4 linked regions of the Arabidopsis thaliana genome follow. The main gene of each other region encodes a partner of the protein of the gene in region 3 in a complex. Each region holds a gene or a part of one and is shown on either strand. Other genes may lie near its edges. The genes, in order: AT1G29070, emb2394, EMB3126 and PSRP6.

Evidence for each region.
Region 1: EMB3126 (region 3) and AT1G29070 share a complex: the UniProt entries of both Arabidopsis thaliana proteins name them as parts of the 50S ribosomal subunit.
Region 2: EMB3126 (region 3) and emb2394 share a complex: the UniProt entries of both Arabidopsis thaliana proteins name them as parts of the 50S ribosomal subunit.
Region 4: EMB3126 (region 3) and PSRP6 share a complex: the UniProt entries of both Arabidopsis thaliana proteins name them as parts of the 50S ribosomal subunit.

The regions. Positions count from the first base shown.
Region 1 is NC_003070.9:10,148,075-10,152,070, reverse strand, and holds AT1G29070 (Ribosomal protein L34), read right to left. Parts: upstream 2,281-3,996; 5' UTR 2,188-2,280; coding exon 1,974-2,187; intron 1,176-1,973; coding exon 916-1,175; 3' UTR 664-915; downstream 1-663. Other genes in the region: AT1G29060 (Target SNARE coiled-coil domain protein), read right to left, coding at 2,612-2,773, 3,412-3,468, 3,906-3,996. UniProt on the Arabidopsis thaliana protein: This protein binds directly to 23S ribosomal RNA.
Region 2 is NC_003070.9:1,501,588-1,505,728, reverse strand, and holds emb2394 (Ribosomal protein L6 family), read left to right. Parts: upstream 1-1,875; 5' UTR 1,876-1,990; coding exon 1,991-2,025; intron 2,026-2,467; coding exon 2,468-2,767; intron 2,768-2,877; coding exon 2,878-3,214; 3' UTR 3,215-3,478; downstream 3,479-4,141. Other genes in the region: GLR3.4 (glutamate receptor 3.4), read right to left, coding at 1-87; AXR1 (NAD(P)-binding Rossmann-fold superfamily protein), read left to right, coding at 3,954-4,039, 4,132-4,141. UniProt on the Arabidopsis thaliana protein: This protein binds directly to 23S ribosomal RNA and is located at the aminoacyl-tRNA binding site of the peptidyltransferase center.
Region 3 is NC_003074.8:23,442,176-23,446,976, reverse strand, and holds EMB3126 (Ribosomal protein L1p/L10e family), read right to left. Parts: upstream 2,775-4,801; 5' UTR 2,709-2,774; coding exon 2,379-2,708; intron 2,305-2,378; coding exon 2,125-2,304; intron 2,033-2,124; coding exon 1,978-2,032; exon of another isoform or gene 1,717-1,977; coding exon 1,589-1,716; intron 1,462-1,588; coding exon 1,378-1,461; intron 1,309-1,377; coding exon 1,183-1,308; intron 1,095-1,182; coding exon 957-1,094; 3' UTR 647-956; downstream 1-646. Other genes in the region: TTA2 (fibronectin type III domain protein (DUF1423)), read left to right, coding at 81-646; AT3G63480 (ATP binding microtubule motor family protein), read left to right, coding at 3,168-3,284, 3,374-3,476, 3,636-3,679, 3,786-3,815, 3,903-4,025, 4,108-4,133, 4,206-4,299, 4,376-4,417 and 2 more. UniProt on the Arabidopsis thaliana protein: This protein binds directly to 23S ribosomal RNA.
Region 4 is NC_003076.8:5,905,979-5,909,192, forward strand, and holds PSRP6 (plastid-specific 50S ribosomal protein 6), read left to right. Parts: upstream 1-1,610; 5' UTR 1,611-1,769; coding exon 1,770-2,159; 3' UTR 2,160-2,486; downstream 2,487-3,214. Other genes in the region: CSA1 (disease resistance protein (TIR-NBS-LRR class)), read right to left, coding at 2,896-2,957, 3,094-3,214.

The sequences.
Region 1 (3,996 bases), on a different chromosome or scaffold from region 3:
CTAGATAGGTTTAAAACTTTAGACTATTACATTGTAGACAAAAAAAAAAAAAAAAAAAAAAAAGGATACAGAGGCCTTTTATCGGCCCACCTTAAAAAAAGAGAGCTACAGAGGCCTTTTATAGACCCACTTTAAAAAACAAAGATATATGAATTTGAGATAAGAAACCTTATTTCAAACAAGAGAATAGTTTATTTTGTCCCACATCGTTTAGGTAGAGATAGTGATGGTAGTAACATGCCTATAAAAAAGAAAGAGCTAATTACGTAAAAGGCATGATCCTTCAGGCAAGTTAAAGGGGATATGATGAATGGTAAAAACTCGCTTATATTGCGAGAAGAGCGTTCCGCCCAAAGCCTGTTACGACTATTGGGCGCTCTCTTTTTTACACAATCTGATCCCTCCCTAATTTCCAATAAGAAGGAACTTTTCTTTTTTAGTTTTGGTTTCATTTTTCTTAACTAGTTTGTTTTTGGTGCAGTTTTCTTTTTAAGGGGAATATAATTTAGGGTTAGTACTTAAAAGTAATTGTTAGGTTGAAATAAAACTAGTAAATGAAAGTAAAATCCTTCAGGGATTGAACCCCAAACTATATACATCAACTTTCAGCAACCATTAACACTACTTGGAATCTGAACAATTCTTACACACCAGAATTATCCTGGTGGCCAGAAGAGATCTTTAAGTAATTATGGCTTTGAAGTTGAGACTTCGAGTAGTAACAAATTCAATGAAGCAAGTAGTATAGTAGTACATGTGATGAATTCCAAGAACATTGATTTATAAACGAATCAAGGATGCAAGAGAGTTAAAACGCAGAAAAGAGCTCAACGAACCATGTTTCTCATTGTATCTTCTGGTGGAAAAAAAGCACATGAAACAAGATTACAGATAGAGTGAAGAGAGAAACAAACTTCAAGCCCGTTTGCCGCTGCTAGGGTTGGACTTGGGACAGAGGTTCCAACGTCCCTTGGCACGTCGACGCTTTATGGTTGCTCTACCGCTAGTGGTCCTCATCCTTCTACGGAAACCATGAGTCCTAGCTAGAGATTTTCTTGATCTGCTTCTCTTAGTTTGACACAGAGCAGCTTTTCCAGCTCTAACCACAAGGCCTCTGCGTCTCTGGCCATTCAGTCCACTAGTTTGACTGCTGAGATCAAACGCAATGGACAAACCTGAAAAGACAGCAACACCATTTTGATCAATGTGACATTATAGGTTTGATAGTGTATCAAGCTGATAATATTGGAACCGGTAAACTCCTTCCTTTAATTACCCAAAGAACTCACCATACAATACCAAACTCTCAACACACTGCTCAGAATCAAGACCCAGACAAATCCAAAATGACTTTAATGCATTCTCCTAGGTTACCCTTTTAACTCTTGAGCTATAACCATAACGTCTGTTGCTAAATTGGCAAAGCTTATAATTCACTGCTCAAATCTTAGCCTAGCTACAATGGTCGTACAATATACTTTACAAGAAAATTATGATCAAAGGAGGAGGAACAAGTTCATGTGACATATTGAAGCAAATCTATAACCATTGTACCTAAATAATCGACATGAGCTAAAAGATTTTTGTACTAAAAATCAAACAACATTTACTTGCGGCTACAAATACATGAGCTAAGATATCAGAAATTGAGGCTTAAGTTGCAAAATGTTATCTTCACTTGTTGTTATAAACTTAACAAGAAATATCAGAAACAAACAAAATGGCTTCTTTCACTCACACTCCCAAATCGAATTCACCATTGACAACTATGTTTCACAATTCCCAAATTCTTCTAAAAAAGCTTCGAATATATGTGTTTGCAAAGTAAGCTAGAGCCTAACACACGAGAATAGTGATAAATCAACCAAACCCAAAGAACCAGAAAAAAAAATCAAAATTGGGTAAAAGAACTTGATACATTACATCACCAGAAGCTAAACACAAACAATAATTCGAACCAATTTAAGATGTACCAGAAAATGGAGACGCTAGGGAAACAGGCGACGAGAGAAACGAGCAATGAAGCAATTGCGAAGAAGCGGAAGAAGTGAGAGAGGACGAACTCCGTCTACAACCCGTACGCAGAGAAAGCGAAGCAGAAGGAACGCAAATCTTGCCGTTGGAGGCAGCAGGATTCCATAAACGCGACGAAGCCGAAGCTACAACGGAAGTGGATAAGGAAGCCATTCAAGTTCCCACTTCTTATCTCCAAACCCAGTTCCTTTGTTTCTCCGGTCTCCTTTACATAGTGTGGAACCTCTATCGTCTACGGACGATACCACCATAAACTTACGCATAAGAACCAACCATAATAATACACGTATCACGACACTTCAGCCCATAAGACTATAAAAGCCCAATACTGAATTGGACCGGACGGGTAATTAATCAAGTTAAGGCCAGATTTGAACTGGTCTAAAATATCTCATGCTGTTGTTCTGTGATACAATTTTGCTTCATGTAAACTGTTAAAAACAGGCACTCTATATAACAGGTAACGAGAAGAACCACAAAATGTTTGTAATCTAGAGGATATTTTCTACAACTTATCCAACATTCATCAAGGGTTTTTTTTTGGGGGGTAACACAAGTATGCCATGAGTCTCTCTATCTATCTTTTGAACATCTTGGACCACATGTAGAGGATAAAGAAGAGGAGGAGCGCGAAAAGAACTACGTGCATTATGTGGTTGTTACCACTACGGATTATGCTTAGGTTCAGTTTCCTTATGTTGTTCTTCACCCCTGCTTGCGCTCTGATCAATGTCATTTGCTGTCACAAACAAAAACAAAATACCATTGAAGCGTTTTATGTTTCAGACAAGAACAACATTTCGTCTACTTATTTTATTTTGCTTATAACAGCACTAAATGCTTGTTTCTGCAGTCTCACTACCAAATCTAGTTGTTTGTCATTATCTTCTCTAGGATGTTCTTCTAGGTAACAAAAGAAAAAACTAGAACGAACTAAAAGCAATGAACACATTCAACACCAACATTCTCATTGACAAAGTGGCAGGAACTCAATGATAAGCTGTAACCATTTCCTGCTGCATTTCACCAAACTAGGTGAGATTGAAGATATCTAATCCTACCCACCACCAGCGTTCAGACCAGATCCTAAGTAAACATAATCTACACTTTGGATTTATCAAGATTCATTGGTTTTGTAAGCTACGGTTAAAGTTATCTAACATATGTTAGGATGAAACTATATTTTCCCAACTAATAATGAACAGAGACATCTGAAACAAGTTATAGGAAACCGATATTCGGATATACTATATATAATCAGTGATTCATCTTAAAGGTAAAGAAGAGTAAATGAATGCATGTTACTGATGTTAAGTGCTTACATTGCAATTTACTATGATGGATAAAGAAAAAACTAAAGGGACATCAACAACATACCAGTTCATCTAAGAAGTCCCTCTGAGACTTTGCTTCTGACCCAATTTCTTGAGCAATCTGCATCAAAATAAGCGATCAACGATATAACAAAAAATCATGAGGGATAAATAATGCGCAAAAGTGCAAGGTAAAACACAAGGAATTGTAGAGAATGTCGACTGATTCCTTCAAGAAGGGTGGTGATATAAAACAATAACCACAGATGTATACAAAAGACATCAGACAAGTGGATTCAACTAATTAATCGTGGACTGACTGATAAGTATTGTGAACAATAACATTATCATAGTACCCTGAACAAAAAAACACCTACACAACTAATTAACCAAGCTCTAACCACTGTCAAAACCGAAAAGAAGACAAATTTCCAAATTCATATGATCAACTTAAAGCTTAAAGAGAACAATGATCCTTCAGAACCACAAGAAGACAATACAAATGGCACTATAGATAAAAAGTAGAAAGATCGAAATGGGATTTAGAGGGTTTCTTACATTTTTCAATTGCCTGACTTGGCCATGGAGACCTAGAATCTCATCATCCAGGTCAGAGTGCATAGGATCAATCCTCAGCTGAATTTCCTCT
Region 2 (4,141 bases), on a different chromosome or scaffold from region 3:
AACAACCCACAAGACAGAAACACATAACAACACAACTCTGATTGCTTTCGCCATGGAAACTTCTCTTATCATCACCAAAAATCCCATCTTTATCACAATTTCCAGCAAAAGCACTAGTTTTTCTTTGTCCTGGTCTCATATAACCATTTGATTTATTTGGAGTAACACCTGCGAAATAAACAATGCCCAACCTGAATCAAAATTGAGATTATAACAAAAGACAAAAAAGATGGTCCAGAAATCTGGTGAAAGAAGGCAAAACCAACCAAGAAATCGGGAGTTAGATTCTGTAGAGAGATTGGTGTATACAGATTTTTGTGTCTGTATATTTATTTATAGTGTATAAAATAATGTATTTATATGAGGCCCTTTGATTCTAGAAACTGGTGCTTTACATGTGCAAGTAAGAACTGAAAATAATGAAGTGTAAGAGGGCCGTCTTAAAGATGGTTCGCAGAGAAAGAAGCAAAAAGTGTAATAAATAATTCAATGAACAAATAACTAAAGATTATATATGTAAGAACATAAAGAAAAACAAAAATTAAAAGATCCAATTGAGAAAAAGAAGAAGCAACCTTGGAATAAATACGAGAAACAAACTTTAATCAGAGATCCATAATCTTCACAAGTAAACGAGTGATTTAGCACTAAGCATAAAGAAGAAAGACAGAGAAAAGAAGTCGAAGAAGCAGAAGAAGAACTGTTTCTGAGCTCAAGCAAAGAATAATTCATAATATTCTCTCTCCTTTTTTTTCCCTATTTTCTTCCTTATCATTACTTATTTTTTTGGTATTTTATGAAATTTTGTAAATTTTGTTTTGGAGTGCTATTTCTGGAGTGGTCAGTGAAGACGTAGGCCAAGGTGTGGGGTAGTATGATCGATGCTTTACTTGTGTCCTCATACTATTCGATAAATCAAATTTTTACGTTGGCTCTTATTGGTAACTATCATTTATTAAGGTAGTTGATGCATTTTTCTTTTTGGTTACAACGGATATAGTTAAATGGTAATTAGGGTAACTACGTATGACATGAGGCAAAATAATAATTGAAAATGTGAATGTGAGGAGTGACGACCTAATTGCTCCAAGGCCGCCTTCGTCAAAGAATAAGTCTCCTCAACGGTTGTCAAATCAATTTCACACAAAAAAAAAAGAAAAGAAAAAGATATTTTCAGACATAAATAGTAAAGTAATTGTACTATTGATTTCATATGATAAAAGGTGCATGAAACACATGGTCGACTATTTTTTGTCTTTAGAGTGTTCATTAAGGAATGTTATTAAAAAAAACTTATAAGAGCTGCATTTGTTATTACATAGTTCCTTATTGAAATTTTCATTTGTTAATTGTTAACACAAAATAAAATATGCCACTGAATCCACAAATATCTTGTCGGTATCGAACTTTTTATTTATTTAGAACAAGAATATCTTGACCAAATGAAATGTGAACCAGGAAAATAAATATACAGTTCATCTTTTTTTTCTTTGAATCTTCTCAATTTGTTGTTTGGATTTTTCTGAGGGTAAGGGCCCATTTCATTTTTAAATTTGTCTGTTAAGAGTAGTTTAAAATCCATGCCTTTAAAAGATTCGACTTGAAAACATACTTAATCGGGAAAGATGCACAATTTTGATCCAAACGCATCTACTAATAATCTATTGACTTCATTAATCTAATCCAAACTCCACGTTCATTGGGTAAATTTTGTGAACAGTTATTATAATAATGGGCCTAGAAACAGTGAGATAATAGGCCATGATCAATATAGATAAATGGGTTACACAAATAATGAATTGTCCCACAGAAGGATGGTTAAAAGTAATGGGCCGAAAATAGTGAGCTAATGGGCCGTGAAAGTAATGATTTGAAAGAGGGGATTACAGAAGCTGACGATGGATAAGTCTTTTCTGGATAAAACGCTCTTCTTCTTCTCTTCATCCTCCTTCTGGAGCAGAGCTTAGAGCTCCATCATCAAATCTTATCAATGGCTTCCTCACTCGTCTCATCTTTTCAACCCAGGTACTTTTCATATACTACAAACCATAGAGCTTCTTCATTCCGCTAGGGTTTCGTTTTCTTTACTTGGCATTTTCTACTCAAAAATCTCTATAAACTGTGTTCATGAGCCTCCCAAGTATAAGGAATCTCTTTGAATGGGTTATTTTTATCTTTTTAAATCGATGGCAATGTTGAATTGGTTATGGACTCTTGAAATTGTGGATTTTTATTTTGGGAATTTGAATGTGTTATGCGGAACTCACTGTGTAAAAAGCAGGATTCTAGAGGGGTTTTTAGCCATGGAAACTGAAAGTTCTACAAGAATGTTTCTCTTCCTTAATCTAACGTTATCTTTGTTCCAATAACAGTTTCTGTGTATTGGTTTAGATATATATCTGGTAGAGTTTTACTTTCTTGACATGTTTTATCTGAAGATAGATAGATAACTTCCCCTTTGTTTTAGGTCAGCATTTTTGGGAGATAGAAATGTGTTCAAGGTCTCAAGCACACCTTTTGCTCAAGTGGGTTACTCCAGTAAGACCATTGAGTGCAAAGAATCAAGGATAGGAAAGCAACCGATCGCTGTACCTTCCAATGTAACCATTGCATTGGAAGGTCAAGACTTGAAAGTGAAGGGTCCATTAGGAGAGCTGGCTTTAACTTACCCACGCGAAGTTGAGCTTACAAAGGAAGAATCCGGTTTCTTAAGGGTCAAAAAAACCGTCGAAACTAGAAGAGCCAACCAAATGCACGGCCTTTTCAGGTTACAAACTTCTCATCTTTTCTTGTCATCCAATGAAGTCCTTAACTTTTTTGAGGTTAAAAGATCGTTTGTTCTCTAATCTTTTTTTTTAACTTCTGTGTGACTTTTAGGACGCTTACCGATAACATGGTTGTGGGAGTATCAAAGGGATTTGAGAAAAAGCTTATACTTGTGGGTGTTGGTTATCGTGCAACAGTAGACGGAAAGGAGCTGGTGCTAAATCTCGGGTTTTCACACCCGGTGAAGATGCAGATACCGGATAGTCTGAAAGTGAAAGTGGAAGAGAACACAAGAATCACTGTGAGTGGATACGACAAGAGCGAAATCGGGCAGTTTGCTGCAACGGTTAGGAAGTGGAGGCCACCAGAGCCATACAAGGGGAAAGGAGTCAAGTATTCCGATGAGATAGTTCGGAGGAAGGAAGGAAAAGCTGGAAAGAAGAAATGATCTTCATTTTTCATTATTATCTACTTACTTATCTCTTCCTTTCAATGTTTATGTGTATTTGCTCAAATTTGTTTAGAAATGAAGATGTTTGTGTTGGGATTCTTGAGTAAGTTTTTAAAGGAACCCATTAATTGTTTTTGATGCTCTGACAAAAATTTCTTTAGTGCTTTGATTGAACAAGAACTTGGGCACAAAGTGCCTCATCGGTGTGATTCTATTGTTATGTTTCCTTATTGAACCAAACCAATCCAAATCGGACAAAAATCATGGTAGATAAACTTTTTAAAACAATTTTTTAATCTATTCTTCTTTTTTTTAATTACAAATTTTCTTATTTTCTTATATCTAAAAAATCGTAACAGTAAGATATTAATATCTGTATTCTTAATTTGGTAGATAACTTTTTAAAAAACGAAAATTTCCTATAAGAATAATAATAGTCGGAAATAAAACAAAAAACAATATCATGGTGATTATTCTTATTTGCTTATATCTTCTTCTTTTTCACAATTTTTTTTTAAAAAAAATATTTACAAAATTTTCTTATTTGCTTATATATATAAAAAATCAGTAAGATATTAATATCGATTTTTTAATTTGGTAGATAACTTTTTTCAAACGATAAATTTCCTAAAAACAATAAAATATTCGGAAATAAACAAAAACCCTGATTGAAGAAAAGTCTTTTTGTTTATCAGTTCACCGGAGGCAAAAATCGTCTCTCGCTTGAGCTGCGAAGATGCAAGCAGTAAAAAGATCCAGGAGACATGTTGAAGAAGAGCCAACAATGGTAGAACCTAAAACCAAGTACGATCGTCAGCTCAGGTATACATACTCTTTTTCCTTAAACTCTACTTCGAACTACTCTTGTCGGGAGGAAAATTGATGAAGTAGTAATCGTTGGGTTGACTGATTAGGATTTGGGGG
Region 3 (4,801 bases):
ATGTTGGTTAAATTCTTGTGATATATGTGCCATAGATATTCCTTGTAACAATCTGTCGATACTTTGCCTGTTGATTGCAGACTGTGATTCCTCCACTCCTGCTGAAACTAGTGCACCGTTCATATACGAACAGCCAAAACCCAGGCATGAGAGGGGAAGCCCTAGTCAGGACACGGCGTGGCTGAGATCGGTGTGCTCAGATAACCCGCATAATCAGCTGAAAAGGTCAGCGAGCGTAGCTGATGCATTCCACAGAGAGAGGCAAGTTGAAATATGTGCAGTGGAGATGGAGTTGGAAAGGGGTTCACCAAAGGAACCTCGTTTCGAAGAGCTAGAGAGCATTGTGAGAATGAAGCAAGCAGAGGCAGAAATGTTCCAAGGGCGGGCCGATGATGCACGAAGAGAAGCAGAGGGACTGAAACGAATAGCAATAGCGAAGAAGGAGAAGATAGAAGAAGAGTACAATCGGAGAATGGGGAAGTTGAGTATGGAGGATGCACAGGAGAGAAGGAGGAGGAGGTACGAGGAGTTAGAGGCAATGCAGAGAGGGCAGAGAGAGTTTTATGAAATGAAGATGAGAATGGAGGAAGAGATGAGAGGGCTTCTCACCAAAATGGAAATGACGAAGCAGAGTCTGGCCTTGTAATATTTGTAGTAGTAAATCACATGTAATGTACACAGAAACCTCCTCCTCGTATGTAACCTAAAGATCAATGTAAGGTCTTTTCTTTTAGAGAGTACTAAAGAGTTCTGCGTCCTGACATGTACAGCCCCTTGCCAAATTTTAATAGGCAATAGTAAATAAATAACGACAAGAAGCAAATGGCCATCAAAGTGATACAAAGCAGTGAGGCGTGAAAAGATTACTAACAGACTAGACTTGGTGTTTCTCTTCTCTGTCTACACTGGCATTGCCCGTCTCCCAAAAGGACCCCATTTACAAATGGCGTTGTCGATTAGTTCGCAGTGGGAGGCTTGAAGTCTATCATCTCTCTTATGTTCAACTTGATGGAAGGCCCCATTGACGAGCATATGTGAGCGCTTTTCCAGTACACTCCTTTAGCTCCCTTTGGCTTGTTTGTCTCCACCGATTTCTGCATTTCATCATTTACTTTTCCCTCTTCATTTTTTTTTGTATTTTAAACCACAGAAATACGTAATAAGAATGGAGAATTAGCCTACCACTGCTGCAAGGAAGTTTATGAGAAGGTCTTCCTCTGTAAAATTAACTTTCCCAAATGGAATGTGAACAATCCCAGTTTTGTCTGCTCTGAATTCAACTTTCCCCTTCTTGAACTCTTCAATAGCCTGAGAGATTTATGCATCTTTAAGCCATGACTACCAGAATCAGGAAAAGATGTTGCAGAGTAGGCTTACCTGGGGAATGTTCGCTGTGACTGTACCAGCCTTGGGATTTGGCATGAGCCCCCGTGGTCCAAGAATCTTTCCCAGGCCAGCAACCTAAGCGCCAAGTTCAAGAATGTTAGAAAATAGATCACGAGTTACAAGTATCTCATGCCACCTTATTTGCCAAGCATGACGGTTTCATATGCTGTAACAAGTAGAACATTATATCATCAACACATACCTTGACCATCATATCCGGGGATGCAATCAGCTTGTCAAACTCCATGAAGCCTCCTTTAATCTGTTCGATTAAATCATCACTGCCCACAATATCTGCCCCTGCACTTTTGGCTTCATCAACCTTCTCACCTGGAAGTTCAGCATGGAAATGGTGCAAGCCAAAGATTTAGAAAGAATAAGCCACATGATACACAAGAACTCCATCCAATCAATATATAAATAAAAAGTCAATCGCACCAAACAATGTTGCATCTAGAGAAGTACTGACTGACTGACTGATACCGTAAACATTATCTCTGTCCTAAGTCCTAACAGTGAATTTGGTGACTGAAATGGTAAAGCATAATCTCTGTCCTAAGTCCTAGCAGTGAATTTGGTGGGGCAATATACCTTGTGCAAGAACAGCGACTATAACAGTCTGGCCAGTTCCCTTAGGCAGGCTCACCTATACAAAAAGACAATGCATTGAGATTAAAAAATGTTGTGGAATGAAGCAGCACAAGATAGAGTGTATATCCAGCAAAAGGCAAAGCAGACCGTTGCACGCAGCTGCTGGTCATTGTACTTAGGATCGATGTTGAGACGGAAATGGGCTTCAACAGACTCAACAAACCTTGTGTTGGCAGTTTGTTTAAGCAAAGAGATAGCAGTGTTGACATCATACTCCTTTTTGGTTTCCCTTAGCTTTTGGATTTCCAAAAACCTCTTAGACCTTGTCTGTCAATGGGTAAGCAAACAAAGTGATGATTCACGAGTAAAGGAAGCGAAATTGAAGTAGGTAAAGCACATACTCTATCTCTCTTGAGAACCAAAGCGGCTTTTCCTTTCTTAGGCTTGGGCGGATCAAGGACGGCGGTGGCGGTCTGCTCCAGGTCCTCCTCCGTGTCGAGGTCAGCCTCAGCGGCCACGGCGGAGACAATAAACTTGTGGTTGGAAGCTCTGTCAATAGCAGCACATCTCCGGTCCCTGGAACCCCCAAGGAGAAGAAGCGGGAAGCTCAAGTGGTTGGGTCTGGAGCTGGCAAAAGAGAAAAGAGATGGAGTAGGGGTAAGGTCCTGGGAACGAGTGGATGCGGCGGCGTATGCTAGCATGAGAGAGGAGTGAGTAGCGCAAGCAGCCATTGTTGGAGCTCTCTTTCTTTCTGGGTACAAAGAAGAAGAAGAAGAGTGCGAGTCTCCCTAATCCACTCCACGCCCAAGGGGATAACAACACCCCCTATTCTTTCTAAGCTATTATTCTCTGCGTGGCGGGCACCTTAGCTACCGTGTTCCTAGTGACACGTGTCTTCTTATGGACCATTAGATCTTTTAACAACCCACACGCGTATCCTCGTGACCTCTTCTCCTTCTCCTTCTTCTTCTTCCTTCTCTTTTCTCAAAAATCAGATTTCGAGTTTCTTCTTTCCCGCCCGTAAGAGAAACCCTACTCTGACTCTCCACTCCATTTGAGAGGTAAGTTCCGATTCCTTTTCTCTCAGCTTCAAATTTCCTGTGCTACTATTTCCCCAATTTCATTCATCTTCTGCTGACTCATTTTGGGTGTTTCACTGTAGACTGAGCTCGTTCCGATAAGGAGAGGAGATGTCTAACGTAACCGTCTGTGCGCGATTCAGGCCGCGAAGCTCTAAAGAGATGCGCGATCCCAGCAGAGATGGTGTCTGTGCTCGACCCATCGACGCTGAAACCTTCGTTTTCCAAGTTTGTCTACTCGACGCCGTGTGCTTGATTAATATTGTCTCTCTCTCTCTGTCTCTCAAACTCTATCTAGCGTTTTTACTTGCGTGTAGGATGACAAGGAAGATGAATTTACATTTAGCCTCGATAGAGTTTTTTATGAGGACTCTACCCAAGCTGCGGTTTATGAGTTTCTGGCTCTCCCCATCATGAGAGGTACTAATTGATTCCTTGATCTTCTCTTCTGGATTTTAGATCTAAACATTTGAGCACCAATCTTATGATTTTACAATGTAATCAACATTTTTGGTTTTGGTTTCCTCCTACCTTTGTCTTTTGCATCTTTTACCTTTGTACTACTACTACTACTTTCAGACGCTGTAAATGGTATAAACGGAACAATCATCACTTATGGACAGGTTTGTTCTTCTCCTGATCTCTTTTATCTGGAAATGCTTTCAATGTCTTTTTCTTAATTTGGCAGATTTTGATCTCAATTTGATCGTTTCATGTTATACTATGCAGACAGGGGCTGGGAAGACTTATTCCATGGAGGTCACCTAACTCATCTTGATACCTCTTCCTGTAGCACAAGGACCATTCCTTCTTCTGGCTCATTTTGGTTTTCTTCGATTGATTCAGGGACCAGGCATCCAGGACTGTGATGAGCACAATAAAGGACTTCTTCCAAGAGTGGTCCATGGGATGTTTGAGCAAATCAGCTCTTCCAATGATATTGCAAGATACACTGTTAAATTGTCTATGGTACTGACTTAAATGCACTTGCTATAAGTCTCCTTTCAAGCTCTCCTGTATAGACATCTTACGTGTCTTTTGTCTCCTCTAGGTTGAGATCTACATGGAGAAAGTCAGGTATTGTGTATGTAATTCCCTCTGATTTCTTCTAGGGTATATAGCTTATCGATAAATTCATATATCTCTCAGGGACCTGTTGGACTTATCAAAAGCAAACATACAGATCAAGGAGAACAAAACACAAGGAATACTCTTGTCAGGCGTTACAGAGGCTAGCTTCATTGTCTTATATCTTCTATTTGCTAGTGTTGAGAAAAATCTTTACTGGGTAGGCAAGTTTTAATCATTCGTTGCTTCAGGTGCCTGTATCAGATTCGGTGGAGGCATTACAACATCTATGCGTAAGATAGCAGCTACCCTAAGTTTCTTAATTGCCTTATACGGCCTTCTTCTTTCTTATTTCTGATGCCAATTGCCATTTCAGACCGGTTTAGCTAACCGCGCAGTTGGGGAAACCCGTATCCTCTTAGCTTTTACAGCACTTACTTGTTCAATGTTTCCCCATTTAGTCGATAGTGAGATTATGATTATGCTACTCCGAGTTGACTGAAAGGTTAAAACTGATTGAGAGTCATCTTGAAGAATGTTTCCAGTTTAACAATGAATGACAGAAATGAATATGTCCAGCAGTAGAAGCCACTGCGCCTACTTGTTCACAATCCAGCAGGATTCAGTTAAAGATAAAAGGTAACGATTTTTTACAATTAATCAGAAAAAAGTGATGC
Region 4 (3,214 bases), on a different chromosome or scaffold from region 3:
CTTACCTGTAAATAGACTAATATTTGTTTATATAAAACCATCAAATAATATTGTAAACAAATATATATATATATATGTATGTATGTGTTATATATATGTATGTATGTGTTATATCGTGTATAACTATTTAATTTGTTTAATTCACTTGTTCGATTGTATCTTCTTCTTAAACTTAAATCATCTTTTGGTTATATGTGTGTGTCTAATAACTATGTAATCTTTCTTTCAATTCTAATAAAATAAAACAAGATGTTAAAAAAAAAAAAACTATTTAACTATCCATGGTTGATGACTCGTACTTAAGACAAATAATCAAATTTCGTGATTCTAAAAATGAATGAAATTGATTGATATATAAGTGGGATTAGAAAAAAAAGAGTCAGATAAGTGTTATCTCGCGGTTATAATTTCAACGGTGCTAAGATAAGGATAAGGTTTGCGAAACTATATACTAATGCAACAATGGGTACCGTAGGTTTGTGATACCTAATTTGATCTAACCAACAGAATCTCTTCGTACTAGTGTAATCGAGTGGCTGAGCTGTTGATATAGAGATACGTAGTACTATTATTGTAAATAAAGAACCCAAAGAATCAAATTTGTCGACAACAAAATAAGGGGTGATAATCCGATGCACGTGGATTTGGTGAATGTATTGGATAATGCTAGTCACGTAGAAGAAAGTAATCTTATTTTGGGCCATAATTTTAGTAAATGTTTTTGAGTCTACGTAAAGAAGAGTAATTTTCATGGCAATCGCAATTTTCGCTGACAATTGATTATTTTGATATAATGTGAAATTGGTTAGGTTGGTGATAGTAGCTAGTTTGAAGCCTAACTTAGGCTTGTTATTGAGGTATAATACATTATTAACCATAAGTATTAGACAGGTTTTGGACAAATATATTTATTGGTCGCTTTGGCAGCATTGAAAAACCCTAAAAGCCACTAGAATGGATGTCTTCGAATGTCAGTTCACATAAATGTTCGCTAGCTTAATTTTATTTTCTTTTTTAAAAGAGAGGAAGCAATGATAACATAAACATTTTTATAGTGTTTTTTTTGAAACAAAAAGTTAGTTTTCTTCCTCAAATTCGATAACTAAATTACACCATAAATGAGAATATGTTTTTAGTTAAGTAGTTAAATCCATTTGATTCTACCTTTTTTACCAGAGTTTGACTCTACTAAGTCGTGTTACTTCGCATAATAAGGATTGACTATGAATCGTGTCTTGTTTATAAAAAAAAGAAAAAAAAAATTACACAACAAAGTTAAGAAAATTCAAATTTATTAATTTAATAAGCATACTTTGAATATAAATAAATCCTAAAACTCAAACTAATAAAAAAAGTATTTTTTTGTGTAGTATTAAAAGATGCAGAATCCGAAATAATGTATTTTATTGTAGAAGTGATTCAAAAGACCTTATCTCGTAGTCACTTGTAGCATTATTGGTTTAAGGTTAAAGAAAACATTTAAAACTCTGTATACATCATACATGACATCTTTACAAATTGCAAAATATACATTTTTAATCAGCTACTCTATTCTTAAATTCCTTTAATTAACGAGGTTATACAGTTCGATACGTTTAAGCAACAAAAAGTTCGATGCCACTAATAATTTAATTTTTGTTCTCTTCTTATCTTATAGATTGTTGCAGCCTGCAGGCTTGCAGCATAACGAGTTACATAACTATATACAAAGGCCCAATAGACACCTCAAAGGCCCAATAAAAAAGCCCAGGAAAAACGAAAACGAAGATATGAAGTTCTTCTCTAATCCGAAGCAAGAGGCTCAAACTCACTTTCACTTGCACAAAGATAAGGAAACCATGTCTGTGTCAGCGATCTTTGGTACCGGAATCGTCACCGTTGCTGCTTCTCCGGTTCTCCGCCAATTTCAAGTTCCAAAATTGGGTAATGGAGGAGGATTAGGGATGGTGATAGAGTGTTCGTCGAGGCCACAGAAGAAATCGACGGCTCATCACAGGAAGACGAGGCCGAAGAAGACTCAGCCTTGGGACATTAAGAGAAAGCCTACTGTTTACGCTCCTCTTCCTCCTCTTCCGGCGGAATGGAGTCCGTTCACTCTCGCTTCTGACGACGGTGGTGCTGCCACTGCTGCGGGAGATTTGGTTTCAGGCGCTGCCTAGTTGGTATGAGTTATCTGCTGATTTGGTTGTAATCTAGTTTGAGAACTTTTGTTGTTGTTTACTGTGTTTTCAGTTTTCTGATGTTTGTTGTTGGGTTTGTTTGTGTTTGATTGGTGAATGAATGGACCAAATTTGCGATTTATAAAGCTTCAACCTTTCTCCTCTGTTTTTGAGTTTAAAGGTCTCAACTTTATAGTTTATAGCTCTCGTCATTGTCATCTATGTTGCTTCTCTATAATTGCTTTTTTCCTTTTGGGTCTCATTAATTTCTGCAAGTAGTAATTGAATTGGGATGACAAGAGTTTAAGTTTGATATGTGAAAATGAAAGCACAATGGTATCTGTTTTGTGGCGGTTGATGCTGGAGTTGTTGTCAAATGCTCTGTTTGCTGCCATAGCAATGGGAATGTAGCTTCTAAAGAGTACGGTATAGTATACCGCATTATTGGAATTTTAAAATTTCCCTTTAGATTGGATTCAGGTGAAACGGCAATGTGCTCTGCTCACCATAGTGCAACACTTGGTCTAAACACTCTATTGTAGATTTTTAAGCCAAGTGATCTAAAGTGTGTTTGATGAAGAGTTTCAGCAAAAACATTTTTAGAAATGTTTATATCAGTTATGGGTTGATCACTCTGATTCTTGAATCTATCTTGTATCGGTCTAGTCCCAGGAGAAATTTAGAAGATCGATTTATCTTGCATTGCATGTTTATGGAGTCAATTCCAAGATCAACATCAATGGCTATACATTTCATAAAGCACGCATACAGAGTACATCCCGTTGAACCCATTAAACCCTGACACCTTAAAAGCTTAAGTCAAATCATCTGGAGAAATACACAATGAAGATACAAATACAGAGAGTTCGAAAGAATAAATAGTGTGAAAACAGAGGCAATCTATGAGTTTAACACAAAAGAGTGGAACCAAAACCAGTTTTTTGGGAAGAATGAGCTTCACTTGGGATGTTAGTGCTAGAGTTTTCAATGTAAGTCTGCCACTGGCCCTTTGGAGATTCATTACCTTTTGCTTGATCCTTGAAACAACCATTAGC